Sus scrofa: one gene and its partners. The main gene of each other region encodes a partner of the protein of the gene in region 2 in a complex. Links are inferred from orthologs where the notes say so. Each region holds a gene or a part of one and is shown on either strand. Other genes may lie near its edges.

Region 1 (3,670 bases), on a different chromosome or scaffold from region 2:
CTGATGGGGACTCAGCTGTAGAAGTGACTCTAGAAGGAAGCAGGTGTCCTTTGCTGCTTAGGTCTATGTTCATAGTCCTACACATAGTGGATCCTCAGCAAAGCTTGGATGAACTGAATTGGGTTTCCGTGGGCCTGTGATCCAGGCCTGTTAGGCAGCCTTAATCCTTTTGCCAGATTAGGATTCAGGCTGGTTCCCTGTGCAGGTCAGGGTGGTGAAATTGGGGTTTTATTTTTTTAGGGCCACAGCTGCGGCATATGGAAGTTCCCAGGCTCGGGGTTGAATCGGAGGTGCAGCTGCCGACCTACCCCACAGCCACAGCAGCGCCAGATATGAGCTGCACAGCTCATGGCAATGCCGGATCCTTAACCCACTGAGTGGGGCCAGGAATCAAACCCACATCCTCAGGGATGCTAGTCGGGTTCGTTTCCACTGAGCCACAACAGGAACTCCTGAAATTTGGGTTTTAAAGTCCCAGCTTGAAACTCCTACCCGCAGAACCTGACTCCGGAGTGAGGCGTTGTCTGCAGATGGGCCATGTGAAAACACAGGTCGCCTGGCAGGCGTGCCAGGCCTGCCTCCTCTAGCACCGCCTCCTACAGTGTCCACCTGGGTCAGTTTGCAGGTTTGCAGGTAGCAGAACAAGGGACTCAGCCTGTGGCAGACACAGAGGGTTGTCAAGAGGTGGGTTAAAGAGCCCCTGAGGTGAGGTGCCAGTGGGACACACGCCTTAAGCAGCCAGGAGACTGTGCTCACAGGGGAGGGGCCATCTGAGTGAAGCAAGGGAGGCGCCGCCCTGCAGATTTTAAGGAGGCTCTCACTCTCGGGCAGGTGAGCACAGGGCTGGCGCCTGCGAAGGCATGCCTCCTTAAATTTTGTGCTGGGCCCCTCCCTTGCTGCACCCTAGTTCTGGCCCCTCTCCACCCTCTTCCCGGACTGTAGAGCTGTAGGGCTCTCGTTGAACATCCTGCTCAGGCCTGTGCCTCGAACCCTGGTAAGAGACTGCCCCCGAGATCACACAGGGGCCAGTACTGGCTCCTCAGGTATGTTGGGGCCATGCAGTGTTTCATTACTTGAGGCACTTGGTTTTCAAAAAGCTCAGTTGCTGGAGTTCCCAGGGTGGCTCAGTGGTTAACAAACCCGACTAGCATCCACGAGGCTTCGGGTTTGATCCCTGGCCTCGCTCAGTGGGTTAAGGATCTGGCATTGCCATGAGCTGTGGTGTAAGCTGCAGATGCGGCTTGGATCCTGCGTTGCTGTGGCTGTGGTGTAGGCTGGAGGCTACAGCTCTGATTAAATCCCTAGCCTGGGAACCTCCACATGCTGCAAGTGCAGGCTAAAAAGACCCAAAAACAAAAACCCTCAATTGCTGCCTTCTCTTCTACCAAATCAGATTATGAGGGACCAGCGGCTCTGTATTCCCACGTGGTCCAGACCCCAGGCCCCACTGTCTCCCAGGCCCTATCACTGAACAGGCTCGCTGTCCATTTCTCCCACGTTCATCATCCAGGCACCTTGGCCATTGAAGTTCAAAGCCCCTGTCTGACGCCCCCTCCTTTCCTGTGTCCTTCTGGAGTTGGACATGGGCATCATGCACCTGCAGCCTCTGAGGCCCAGTCCTGGAATCAGTCACCTCTTTGAGTCGCCAACCGGGCGACTCTGGGCCAGAATAAAAGGCCAGGAAGTCACGTCAGGCCCGTTCCTGGAAGAAGGGGCTCGAGGACACCCCCCTCAGCTTTGCCAGACTCTCTGAGCCCAGCACTAGAGTCTAAGACTTCTCTTCTCCAACCCGCCTTCATGCCAGCCGCCTCCAGATCCCCACCCCCCGGCCCCCGTCTTCCGTCAGAGCCCCACCCCATCAATCTCTCGCAATCTAATTTCAATCTAATCCCACCTGGCGGTGCTTCTTGAGGGGCCCAAACTAATTTCCTAAAGAAAAACCCTGTAAATTTAGATCCCATTTAGTGGAACGTGATGCTAATTCAGCTGCTGACTGACCTGAGCTTTGTCCTATCCCAACTGTGCACAAGGCATTTTGATAAACCAGTAAACCAAAGTGTTTTTTTTTAATGTGCACTCATTTAAAAAGAAAATGGTTTGCTTGCGAAACCGCTAAACTTAGCATTTTCATGCACACCGCTAAGGAGCGGCTGCCTTGACTTTTTTACTATTCCCACGATGTGGGTTAACTCTCCTAACAAAAGAGGTTCCTTCTTCAAAGGCACACCCTCATTTAGAGCCTCCCTTCTCCCCGAGATTGGCAGAGATGGAGTTTTTGTTTTGGCTTTTTGGCCAGGTCTGTGGCATGGAACCTGAGCCACAGCAGTGGCGACTTAACCGCTAGGACACCAGGGGGCTCCAGCGATGGAGTTTTATCAACTGTGGGATATGGGGCCGTTTCCCATTAGCTGGAGGAGGGCCACACACCTGCCCGCTGACCGTTGCGTGCACCGCCCCCACTCCCCGACGGCCTAGACAGCCCTGCAGTGGGAGGTGTCCCCTGTCCTGCCTGGACTTTGAACTTGGAAGGATAAATCTTGGAGCCTCTAGGACGCGGCCAGTGACTGTAAAATCCAAGGCGAGGAAGGAGACGTAACTCACCATCGTCCTTCTTCCCAAAGAACCCCCAGATCTTCTCGGCTCGCTTCTCCGGGGTGTTTTCGTCGTCGGGGAGCTGCTTCATGTCCTCAGGACTGATCATTTTGAAAATAGCCTGCACCGGATCAAGAGGAAGAACTGGTCAGCAGTCCCACGGCGCTGACAGGGACCCCCTATGGCAGAGGTTGAAGTGCAGACGCCCAGGCCCCAGCTGCCCTGCTGAGCCCTCGTTCCTGGGAGTGGGCAGTGGGCATCTGCACTTTGTCTTTTTAGGGCCGCACCCACGGCACATGGAGGTTCCCAGGCTATGGGTCCAATGGGAGCTGTAGCTGCCGGCCTGTGCCACAGCCATAGCGACGCAGGATCCCAGCCACGTCCACGACCTGCACCACAGCTCGAGGCAACGCTAGATCCTTAACCCACGGAGCAGGTCCAGGGATTGAACCCGCATCCTCATGGATCCTAGTCAGATTCGTTACTGCCGAGCCACAACGGGAACTCCCAGGGCATCTGTACTTTTGAGCTGCCCAGAAGGGGTGGGAAATGTGGGGGTGGGGTGAAGAAGGCTTTCAGTTATTTTGTCACTGTTTGAACTTCCTCACCACAGAGACCTATTACTTTCATTTTATTAAAGCAGAAAAATACGACATAAAGAGCTGCCCCAGGGAACTGCTACCTCAAACCCCACAGCCTAGAAATTGTAGCACATCAAATGGCTCCTTCCCAGTCCAGGTCGGACTTGGTTGCCCAGCCAGGTTGACTTAGGGTAATAAGGTCTATGAGGGTAATAAGGATGATTAGGGCTAACCTTTGTTAAGCGTGCCTCTTTCTTAAGCATCCTTACATATGAACTCCTTCATGAGGTGTTATCGGCCCCATTTCACAGATGAAGAAACTGAGTCAACCAACCTGCTGGAAGTCACCCAGCTAGAAGCAGAAGAGTGGAGATTCTAACCTGGGCAAGTTTGGTTCTAGAACCTCTGTACTTGCATCATGTGGAAGGCCTTAGAGAGCATTCTAGAGGTTGGGGAAGGTCACCCAGGGCACAGGAAGCCCCTTATTTATTCTTCTG
Region 2 (4,424 bases):
GGGCAGACCACGTGGAGCCTGTGCTTCTCTGGCACAACCGCGGGCCGTGGGCCCACAGGTTTGATGGAAAGTAAAATCTCAGGGCAACAGCGAGGCCTCCGATTCCCTCATTGTGTGTCCTTCTGGCCTCGGGGTCCAGCCTGAGGAGCACATGGCTGAGCCCCCCATCCCCCCACCCCTACCCGACCCCCTCCCATCACTTCAGAGCCCCCGGCCAAAGGAGCCAGGGTAGAGGGGGACCAAGGCGGGCTGAGGGGTCTGCCCGGGGCGCCAAGTGGGAGCGTTAGCCCGGCAGCTTCCGCCAGACGTGCGGCTCCCGGGCCGGCCTTGGGCCTCCTTCCCTTTACAGAGCAGCCAAGCCTGACAAATCAGGTCTTTAAACGAGACCACCACTGGCCGGCGCGGAGGCGAAGCAGGAGTCCAAAGAGGAGAGGGGCGGCCTTGCTCGCCCGAGCCGACGGCGGCACCCGGGGTCACGCGGCGTTTTGGGTGAGCGCAGCTGGTGCCCTGTGGTGGGGTGTGGGGTCACATGGGCGCAGGCAGTGTCACAGGCATCTACTCAGTGTAGCGTGTATGGCACAGCAAGCCGTGCTGCCGGCTAACCAGGGTGACACTGCCTGGAGCAGGGCGCAGGTGGCGGACGGCGCAGCCCAGCGGGCAGGGCGGTCAGTGGGGGCTGGCAGAGCGGCGCCGAGGCCCGGCGCCGTGTGGAGGGAAGCCTCTCTTTCACCTTAGGTCCCCTCCATTCATGATGGTCATCACCAGACAGAGGTCGGTCTTCGTTTCGAAGGCGTAGGCCAGAGACACGACGAACCTGCTGTGCACCTTCGCCAGAACCTTCTTCTCCACCATGGCACCCTGGGAAGCGGGGACGCGCCCAGAGTTAGGCGGGGAACTTGCACAAACCGGAAAGAGTCACAGTGAAATCCATGCCAAGGGGGTTGCAGACGCTAGTAACTTAGACACATGCCCCCCACGCCTGGTTCCACAGGCAAGTGGGGCGTCTCGGGCTGAGGACTCGGGCGTCCCGACCCTGCAGCCGGGGCTCGGCCGCCCAGCCTGCAAACGCCATGAGGGTCCCGCCGGCTCTTCCACCCACGTCCCAGCCCTTCCTCCCGCCCAGGCTCTGGACGGCGGAGGCCAGCCAGGGTCCACGACCAGCACCCTCCCTGCCACCTCACACCGGGTCACCCTCCGCATTCACTTTAAACCCCGGGAAGCCTGTTTAACGTGTTTAGTGTGTGCTGCAGGGAGGGTCCTTCTGCAGGACCTGGGAGCTGCCGAGGCCTTCCCGTCGCTGAGTGGGGAGACCCTCGGTGCATCTCACTCTGTAAAATCTCAGTGAGGCTCCCGTGGCAGGCAGAGGAGGCTTAGTGCCAGGGAGGGGCCGCGAGGGCAAATGCTCCACGCAGGGGCCCTGGGGTGCTCGGGGGCGCCACCTGCCCCCAGCACAGGCCGCTCTGAACGGCCGCGGGAACGGGACCCAGGCCCGTGCAGGACATTAAGCAGCTCTGGCTGACCCCGCGGGGATGGAGCCTGACGCGGTGGAGGGCACGAAGCAGAGCAGCCGCCTCACCCCCTCGGGGCCTGGAAGCACAGTGCCGCCCGCCCGGCCCCGTGGAGGCTCCTGCACCAGCCCCAGCTCTTCCTGGCACAAGCCAGGGGACGTTCCAGAAAGTCAGAGTGAAGAAGCTAGAGAACCAGCCCCACAGCCTCCGGACAGTGGCTTTCGTGATGCTGGTGACGAACCGAGAAGGACGAAGAGACGTGGCACGTCAGCCACACCAGCAACGCGGAGGCCGCTCTGCAGGGAGGAAGGCCGCACACCGCCTGTCCCTTCCCCGCCGAGGCTGGTGCTTAAGGGCAGCTGGACGGCTGAGTTGCAGGCTGGGCAGCCAAGCATGGCCTGTGCCCACTGCTCCGGCCCAGGTGCTCAGCCGCAGTACAGACCCGCGATGATGGGGCCCAGGGAACCGAGCCCCACCCAGGGTCAGCCAGCCCAGGGCGCCCCGGACCCCGCCCGTGCCCAGAACGCTGCAGCAGCACACCTGGTACCCCTTCCTCTTCTTCAGCCGCTTCTTGTTCAGCTTTTTGCACGCATACATCTTGCCAGTGGCCTTCATCTGGCAGGCGGACACCTCCCCAAAGCCGCCTCTGCCCAGGACCCTGAAGTCCAGGAACCAGTCCTCACCCACAGGCTGGGCCTCCAGCCACTTCCACTGCAGGAAGCGCAGGAAGTACAGGCTGTCCAGGTACTCCCGGAAGGGCGCCTGGCTCAGATGCGCCAGCGTGGCCTGCAGGAGGGGCTGGAAGAGCCCCTCCTCACGCCCCGAGGGCCCCTCCCTGGCCCGCGCCACCGTCCCCTCGTCCAGGAAGCCGCAGAAGAGCTTGCCCCTGGGGTCCAGGTGGTCGGCCCGGATGGCCTGGGCCTTCTGTGGTCGGAGGTCGTCATCGGCCGTGTCGTAGTCCTCAATGTCCCTCCAGAGCTCCAGGGCCGGCACGTGCCGCCCATCGGCCCTCAGGAACTGCTGGAAGAGCCGCTTGCCGATGGGCTGCTCAGAGCACACGCTCTCGAAGCCCAGGTCCAGGCTGTCCCGAAGGGCCTCGCACTGGGACAGCGGGGGCAGCCTGAGCTTGGCCAGGTACTTCCTGTCCCGGGAGGACAGGGCACTACTCCCGTCGAAGCTGCCCCGGGCAGCGATGAAGGCAGAGTTGGCCACCACCGTCTCCAGCGACCCGAAATCCATCCTAGCGCAGGCCTCCCTCCCCGTCCGGCTCCCGCGCCCCGAGCCGGCCCGACCGGCTGCCCTTGGCCTCTGGCCCGTTCCTGCCCTCTCGGGACAGGAGGGCCGGGGCAGGCCCAGAGCCCGGGGGAGCCCACTGACGCAGCTCAGGCTAAATCCAGCTGGCAGTGGAGGACGCGCAGGCACAGCGGCAAGCAGGTGCCAGAAAAAGACAATCCCTAAGCCGCTCGCAGAGGGATTAGACAGGCCGCCCTGCCCGTGGGGAAGGACACACCCCAGACCCAGACACAACACATGGAAGCCCGGAGCAGCCTGTCCGCCCTGAGGCCCAAGCAGAGGGGCTGGACCATCCATCCATTTCCTCGCAGGGACAGGAGCCCCAGCTCAAGGGAGGGGTCCCAGGAGAAACCTCAGTTTATGAAGACGGCTGGTGGTTTTCCCCACTATGCCTCACTTTTGCCTTTAGAAAAAGAGCAAGTGAGAGAAAAACCATTTAGGAATAGGCTTCCGGGGGTGTCTACAGGTGAGACCACTGGCCAGGGGACTGGTCAGGATGTGAGGACCTGCATTTGTCCCGACCTGACCCTGAGAGCAACTATGTCACAGTGATGGCGCTGACAACCTAAGGTAACCCCAGCACCTGCTGCAGGATCAGCCTCACGGCAGCCCCCTCCCCTCTTGCCACCCCTTGCGGCAGAAGCAGAAGTGCCCAGAGAAGCGTTTGGGTGAAAAAGACAGGGAAGCAGGAGACCCTGGGCTGCACCCAGGCTGAGGTCCCACGCAGAGGGAGGCTGGGGTGAGAGGGGAATGAAGAGGCCAGGGACACACCTGGGACTCATCTGGGACCCACCTCGGACATACCTGGAACACACCCGGGGGCACAGCTGGGGCAAACCTGGGACTCACTTGGGGCCTACCTGGGACACACCTGGGGCACACCTGAGGGACATGTGGGGCACACCTGGGATGCACCTGGGACTCACCTGGGACAAGCTGACACTCACCTGGGACCTACCCGGGACACACCTGAGGCACAACTGGGACACACCTGAGGTACACCTGGGGCACACCTGGGCATGGCCTTGTCCGTCTTGTTCTAGTACCCAGTAGGTATGGAAAAGCATGACATGCATGGAAAAGCACAGGTATGGAAAAGAATGACAAGGAAGTGACAGTGTGGCTACAGCGTAAAGAGGGAGGAAGGGAAGGGAGTGAAGAACGCCCCAAGCAGACAAAGCCAGCCGACCGGCCAGCCCATCACCTCCGGGTGGGAGAAGAGGGTCCAGAGGGCAGGGAGATTCTGCCAGTGGGTGTGGGAGACGGGGACCCTCTGCAGCCGCTGGGGAGGTGGGAATGAGACCTTGCCACTGAGCAGGTGACTCGGTGAGTCCGGGTCACCGTGGGCTGACACCTCAGCCCCTTCCTGCCTTTTCTTTAACTCGTCAGGGCTCAGATGGGACAGTGGCCCCGTGTGCTGCGGGCTGGAGCACCTTCTAAGGCGTTTCTCAGCATGTTCTGAGCCAGCGCTCCCTGTGGTCCCAGGCTGGAGTCACCTGGAGATCCTGCCAAGTCAAGATGGGCTTAGGTGGCCTGGGCGAGGCTGGCGGGCCAGGCAGCAGAGGCGGGGCCTGAGGAGGACGGCCTCCATCAGGTGAATGCTGACCCAGCCGCTGGCGAAGC
Region 3 (4,283 bases), on a different chromosome or scaffold from region 2:
AGAAAATCCGTATGTCTGTTAGCTGTGCCTACAAGGACGTAACTGGGTGAGACTGGAGGAGCCAGGGAAGGGGGCCGGAGTTCATGGGCTCAAATTCAGCAAGGGACAAAACATTAGCCCCGAAAAGACCAAGAGGAAGAACAGGGAGCGAGATGGGAGTTTCCTGGAAGCAGTGGAAAATCCACAGTGTCACTAGCCCACCTTCCCAAACCACTGTCTGCCCAACCCCCCTCTTAATCTCAGTCCCATTTAGAGCTGATGGCCTAGAAGCTGGACGGGACCAGTTCCCAGGGGCTATAGTGTCATACGTGCCCAAGGAATGTTCGCCCTTCCCAGGTGCTGAGACCTAAGGTCAGAAGGCACTAGACCAAAGAGGATTGGAACCTGGCCTGGCTTAGTTGAGGATTAGGGGCACAGCCAAGGTGAACAGTTGGGGCGTCTTGGAATCTCCTTGACATGGGGACTCAGAAGGTGGCACCAGCCCCATAGCAACATTAGGGGCTAACCCTCTCTTCCTCACCCTAAACCTCAACCCCATGACAGTTGCCAGCTCGGGGCCTAGAACCAGATGCCGCCTGGCTGGAGGGCCCTTTGAAGAGCACCAGGGACCCTGCCTTCCTTTCTCAGTACCATTACCTGGACCAGCCGACGAGAGGGGGCGCAGCGCAGGCCAGAGCCATGACCCAGGTGAGGGCCAGGCCCATGATGGCGTGGTTCTCCCCGAAGCGGAAGTTGCTCATAGGCTTACACACCACCACGTACCGTTCAATGGCCAGGACCACCAAGGACCACAGGGCGATTTCACCTGTAAGGCAGTCAGCTGTTGGTCAGCTCACCCCAGGCCTGGAGCTGCTTAAGGACAGAGAGCTCCTATTCCATGGAGAGAGGATGGTAAGAAAGGCAAGGTCCTTGAGTGGAGGGGCCCAGGGGTCCAGAGTAAGTCCTAGGAAGTTAATTTAGAGCTCTGGGTTCATGAGGGACACAAAAATCAGGTCACAGGGTCATGGCTGGACTGGGAGCTCTAAAGGGAGTTTTTATAGAGCAATGTGCCCTGCACATCTGAAGGGCACAGCAGAGGCATTGTTTCATGGAAGCTGGGGTTGGAAGGCCTCCCTTCCAGGGAAATGAAACAACCTGGGCATGTGGGACCCCTGCCTAGGAGCCAGGAAGCTGGATACAATTTTGCTCAGAGAAGAAGTAAGAAATGATGGAATTCAGGCACCTTCCTTGAACAACACCCCCCACCCCGCCCCCAACCCCAGAAACTCAAGAGAGAAGGTGGCCATAGCATTGGCCAACCACAATGGGACATTTCTGAGAGTCAGAGGGAACACCAGTGAGAATTCCAGGGCAGCAGTTTGGCAGAGGCGTGCCTGCCTATATGTGCCACTCTTCTGGCCTGAGATTGGGTGATGTGTGTCACTGAAGGTGACAAACACCCAGTGATGGCTACAATCCCTGGGAATGGGGATGAGGCAACATCCTGGATATATGCGGGAGGCAGAGCATCCCTGTGGCTGGCACTAGGCTCTCCCATCATCCTGGTCGTTTTGTAGTAACGACCTCCCGAGTCTCCTGCTTGCCTAACAGGCTTTGTGTCCCCAGTGGGACATTCCTGGAGCTAAGCCAGTAGACCAGGGCTCTGGTCACTGCCCTGCCACATCATCAGCTGAGTCTTCCTCTCTCCACACCCCAGTTTTCTCACCTACTTAATGGGTCTGAGGCACTCAGTTTTTCCATTAAAGAAAATACTTTAAAAGTACTGCCCAAAAGTTCCCATTGTGGCTCAGTAGTAATGAACTCAACTAGTATCCATAAGGATGCCAGTTCAATCCCTGGCTCCCTCAGTGGGTTAAGGATCTGGCATTGCCATGAGCTGCAGTGTAGGTTGCCAACATAGCTCGAATCTGGCATTGCTCTGGCTGTGGTGTAAGCCCACAGCCATTTTTACCCCTAGCCTGGGAACTTCCACATGCCTCTGGTGTGGACCTAAAAAGACAAATAAATAAAGTACCACCCGAAGCTACAGATAACCACACGGGTCTAAAGTCTCCCTACGGATGGCTCCGCATTCAACCATGACAGGCTGGAGGTGGGCTGTGACCAAGTCTGATAGATGCTGGGGTAGGGTCTGAGCCCATCGCCCAGTGCAGGCAAAGTCTAGACTGGAGGACTGGGAAGCCTCGTCCTGCCCAGGAGGGGAGTCCCATGCAGGGGTCTCTCCTGCCCAGCTCTATCCTTGTGCCTGGCATGGGTCTGACCCCACACAGCTCCTCCGGGGAGAAAGGGAACATGGCCTGAGGGGCTACAGAGACTTGAAACTCAGCTTTGCTGTTGCCACGATGTGACCCTAGCAAGGCCCTTGACTTGTCCCACCCTCAACAAATGGCAGCCTGGCTCAGATCACTGAAGTGTTTGTTGATTGAGGGCTTTGGATAATGGCCTGTCAGCCACTACCCCTAAGGCTGGGGCTGTGCCCAGATTCCTGTCATGCTCCTGGCTCCTTTTCCCCCTGCCCCCCCCCCCATGGCATCCCAGCTCATACCGCCCAGGGTGGCAAAGAATCCCTCCAAGTTGCATCCTGTGGGTCCGAAGACAAAGTATCCATGCAGAGAGGTGTAGAGGGTGGTGGTGAAGCCTCCGAAGACCATGAAGAGGTCAGCCACTGCCAGGTTGAGAAGGATGTAGTTGAGGGGTGTGCGCAGCTTCTTGTGCTGGACCGTGACGTAGAGCGTGAGGAAGTTGATGGGGAAGCCAAGCACAATCAGCATGAACATGTAGGCAGCCAGCATGGAGAACTGCCATGGCTCAGCCAGGTAGTACTGCGGATACTCAAAGGGGCTGCGCACCACGCCCGTCTTGTTGGAGAAAGGCACGTAGAAGTTTGGGCCCTCCGTCCCATTCATGGCTGCGGCCCCTTGTGGCTGCCTTGCAGCTGCTCCAACCCAAGGATGCTGCTGAGGCCTGAGCTCGGCCACGCAGGGCTCCGGCTAGACGACTCTGGGCTCTGACCGCCCCCCCCAGGCCATTATAAAGTGACCTCCCCTCCCTAAGCTCTGGGCTGAATCAGCACCTGGGAGATTGGGGGCGTTATTAATCATATTAATCCCCACGGCTGCAACTGGGGCCTAATTGGCTTCCAAGAGGGGCCAAGGTGACTTGAGGTGGAAGGCTGTGGGCAGGGAGAGGAGATGCTTGGGACCCTGGGAAAGGGCCGGAAGCCTGGCCCAACTCTCCTCTCCCTGAGGAATCTCTGCTGTCTCAGCCAGTGGCCTTGGCCTGGCATTGGGACCTCTGACTCCATGGCCACTTCCTTTTGGCTTAGTGCAAGCAAGCCTTATCTTCCTCCCAACTGCACCACGAGCTTTCAGAGGGCAGAGGCTCGGGTTATTCTGCTCTCAGCCCCTCACCTACTCCTTCCTGGCTCAGCCAGTCACCAGACACTGACCCTCACCCATCTGCCAGGTTATGAGCTTCGAAAGGGCAGGGGCCAGGTCCTGCCAGCTTTGACCTTCCCAATGCCAGACACATAGCTCGGCATCTCCCGGTAGCTCAATAAGCATTTATTGCATTGAACTGAAATTCCCTTGCTCACTCATTCAACAAACATCTATGTGTAGGCCACTGGGGACATGAAGCCTGAGGAAGGAGGAGGACTCCCATGGCAAGAACAGCCCCCATCCAGGGGTGGCGGTGGTCTACATGCAGGAAGTATCCAGGAAGGCAACATTTTGGGAAGGAGGCCCTCTGCCAGGTCACCAAGTAGGGATGGATAGCATTGACTAAAGACAAAGGCTGGCAGAGGCCTAGGGCCCAGCTGGCCTGGGGCCACACATGGGCTGGGGCCATTCTGGTAGAGCTTAGTGCCAGGGGCATTATCAGGCATGGTGGGCAGGTCTCAGGGACAGAGAGGTGGCTCAACAGTCCCCAAAGATGGACTGAAGGAGTGAAGATGGAAGAAGGGATGAAGGAGGGGGAAGTGACAGAAGTAGGGAGGAGTCAGAGGGTCTCAGGGCTCCCGAGACAAGACCCTGCATCCAGGAGGATGGTGGTAAGCCCGTGCTGGGCACAGGTCTCTGCAATGAGCACAGCAAGTGTGGTCTCGGACACTCCTGTGTGAAGGGCAGGTGGGCCCTGGAAATAGGACTAGCTGACACTGTAGCACCCAGGGCACAGCCTGAGACGTCAGGTCAGGCTGGACTGGGACAGGGGCCTTGGATGCCATGTGATGTGAAATGCCATGAGGGCGGATCCCAGGACAGCAGGATGAGTTCCAGGGGTAA

Evidence for each region.
Region 1: the proteins of GRK1 (region 2) and RCVRN are in contact, whole or in part, in an NMR structure (PDB 2I94), measured with the Bos taurus proteins. The link is inferred for Sus scrofa from reciprocal best matches to the Homo sapiens genes GRK1 and RCVRN. Residues at the interface, in NP_776598.1 of Bos taurus: Phe3, Gly4, Leu6, Glu7, Val9, Val10, Ala11, Asn12, Ser13, Ala14, Phe15, Ile16; in NP_776590.1 of Bos taurus: Lys22, Trp31, Ser34, Phe35, Glu38, Cys39, Phe49, Ile52, Tyr53, Lys55, Phe56, Phe57, Tyr86, Leu90, Thr93, Ser94, Phe188, Glu189.
Region 3: the proteins of GRK1 (region 2) and RHO are in contact, whole or in part, in a cryo-EM structure (PDB 7MT8), measured with the Bos taurus proteins. The link is inferred for Sus scrofa from reciprocal best matches to the Homo sapiens genes GRK1 and RHO. Residues at the interface, in NP_776598.1 of Bos taurus: Leu6, Glu7, Thr8, Val9, Val10, Ser13, Ala14, Ile16, Ala17, Ala18, Arg19, Gly20, Asp23, Ala24, Glu184, Asp185, Trp186, Phe187, Leu188, Asp189, Phe190, Val192, Arg195, Glu200, Gln205, Met206, Lys207, Lys221, Arg222, Thr256; in NP_001014890.1 of Bos taurus: Lys66, Lys67, Arg69, Thr70, Arg135, Val137, Val138, Val139, Lys141, Ser144, Asn145, Phe146, Arg147, Phe148, Glu150, His152, Leu226, Thr229, Val230, Ala233, Gln236, Gln237, Glu239, Thr243, Ala246, Val250, Met257, Ile305, Tyr306, Met309.

What each region holds. Positions count from the first base shown.
Region 1 is NC_010454.4:54,742,279-54,745,948, forward strand, and holds part of RCVRN (recoverin), read right to left. Parts: exon of another isoform or gene 2,714-3,670; coding exon 2,602-2,713; exon of another isoform or gene 1,511-2,601; intron 656-1,510; exon of another isoform or gene 493-655; intron 1-492. UniProt on the Homo sapiens protein: Acts as a calcium sensor and regulates phototransduction of cone and rod photoreceptor cells. Modulates light sensitivity of cone photoreceptor in dark and dim conditions.
Region 2 is NC_010453.5:78,792,100-78,796,523, reverse strand, and holds the start of GRK1 (rhodopsin kinase), read right to left. Parts: upstream 2,855-4,424; 5' UTR 2,748-2,854; coding exon 2,049-2,747; intron 859-2,048; coding exon 731-858; intron 1-730. UniProt on the Homo sapiens protein: Retina-specific kinase involved in the signal turnoff via phosphorylation of rhodopsin (RHO), the G protein- coupled receptor that initiates the phototransduction cascade.
Region 3 is NC_010455.5:68,907,201-68,911,483, reverse strand, and holds the start of RHO (rhodopsin), read right to left. Parts: upstream 2,907-4,283; coding exon 2,546-2,906; intron 806-2,545; coding exon 637-805; intron 1-636. UniProt on the Homo sapiens protein: Photoreceptor required for image-forming vision at low light intensity. Required for photoreceptor cell viability after birth.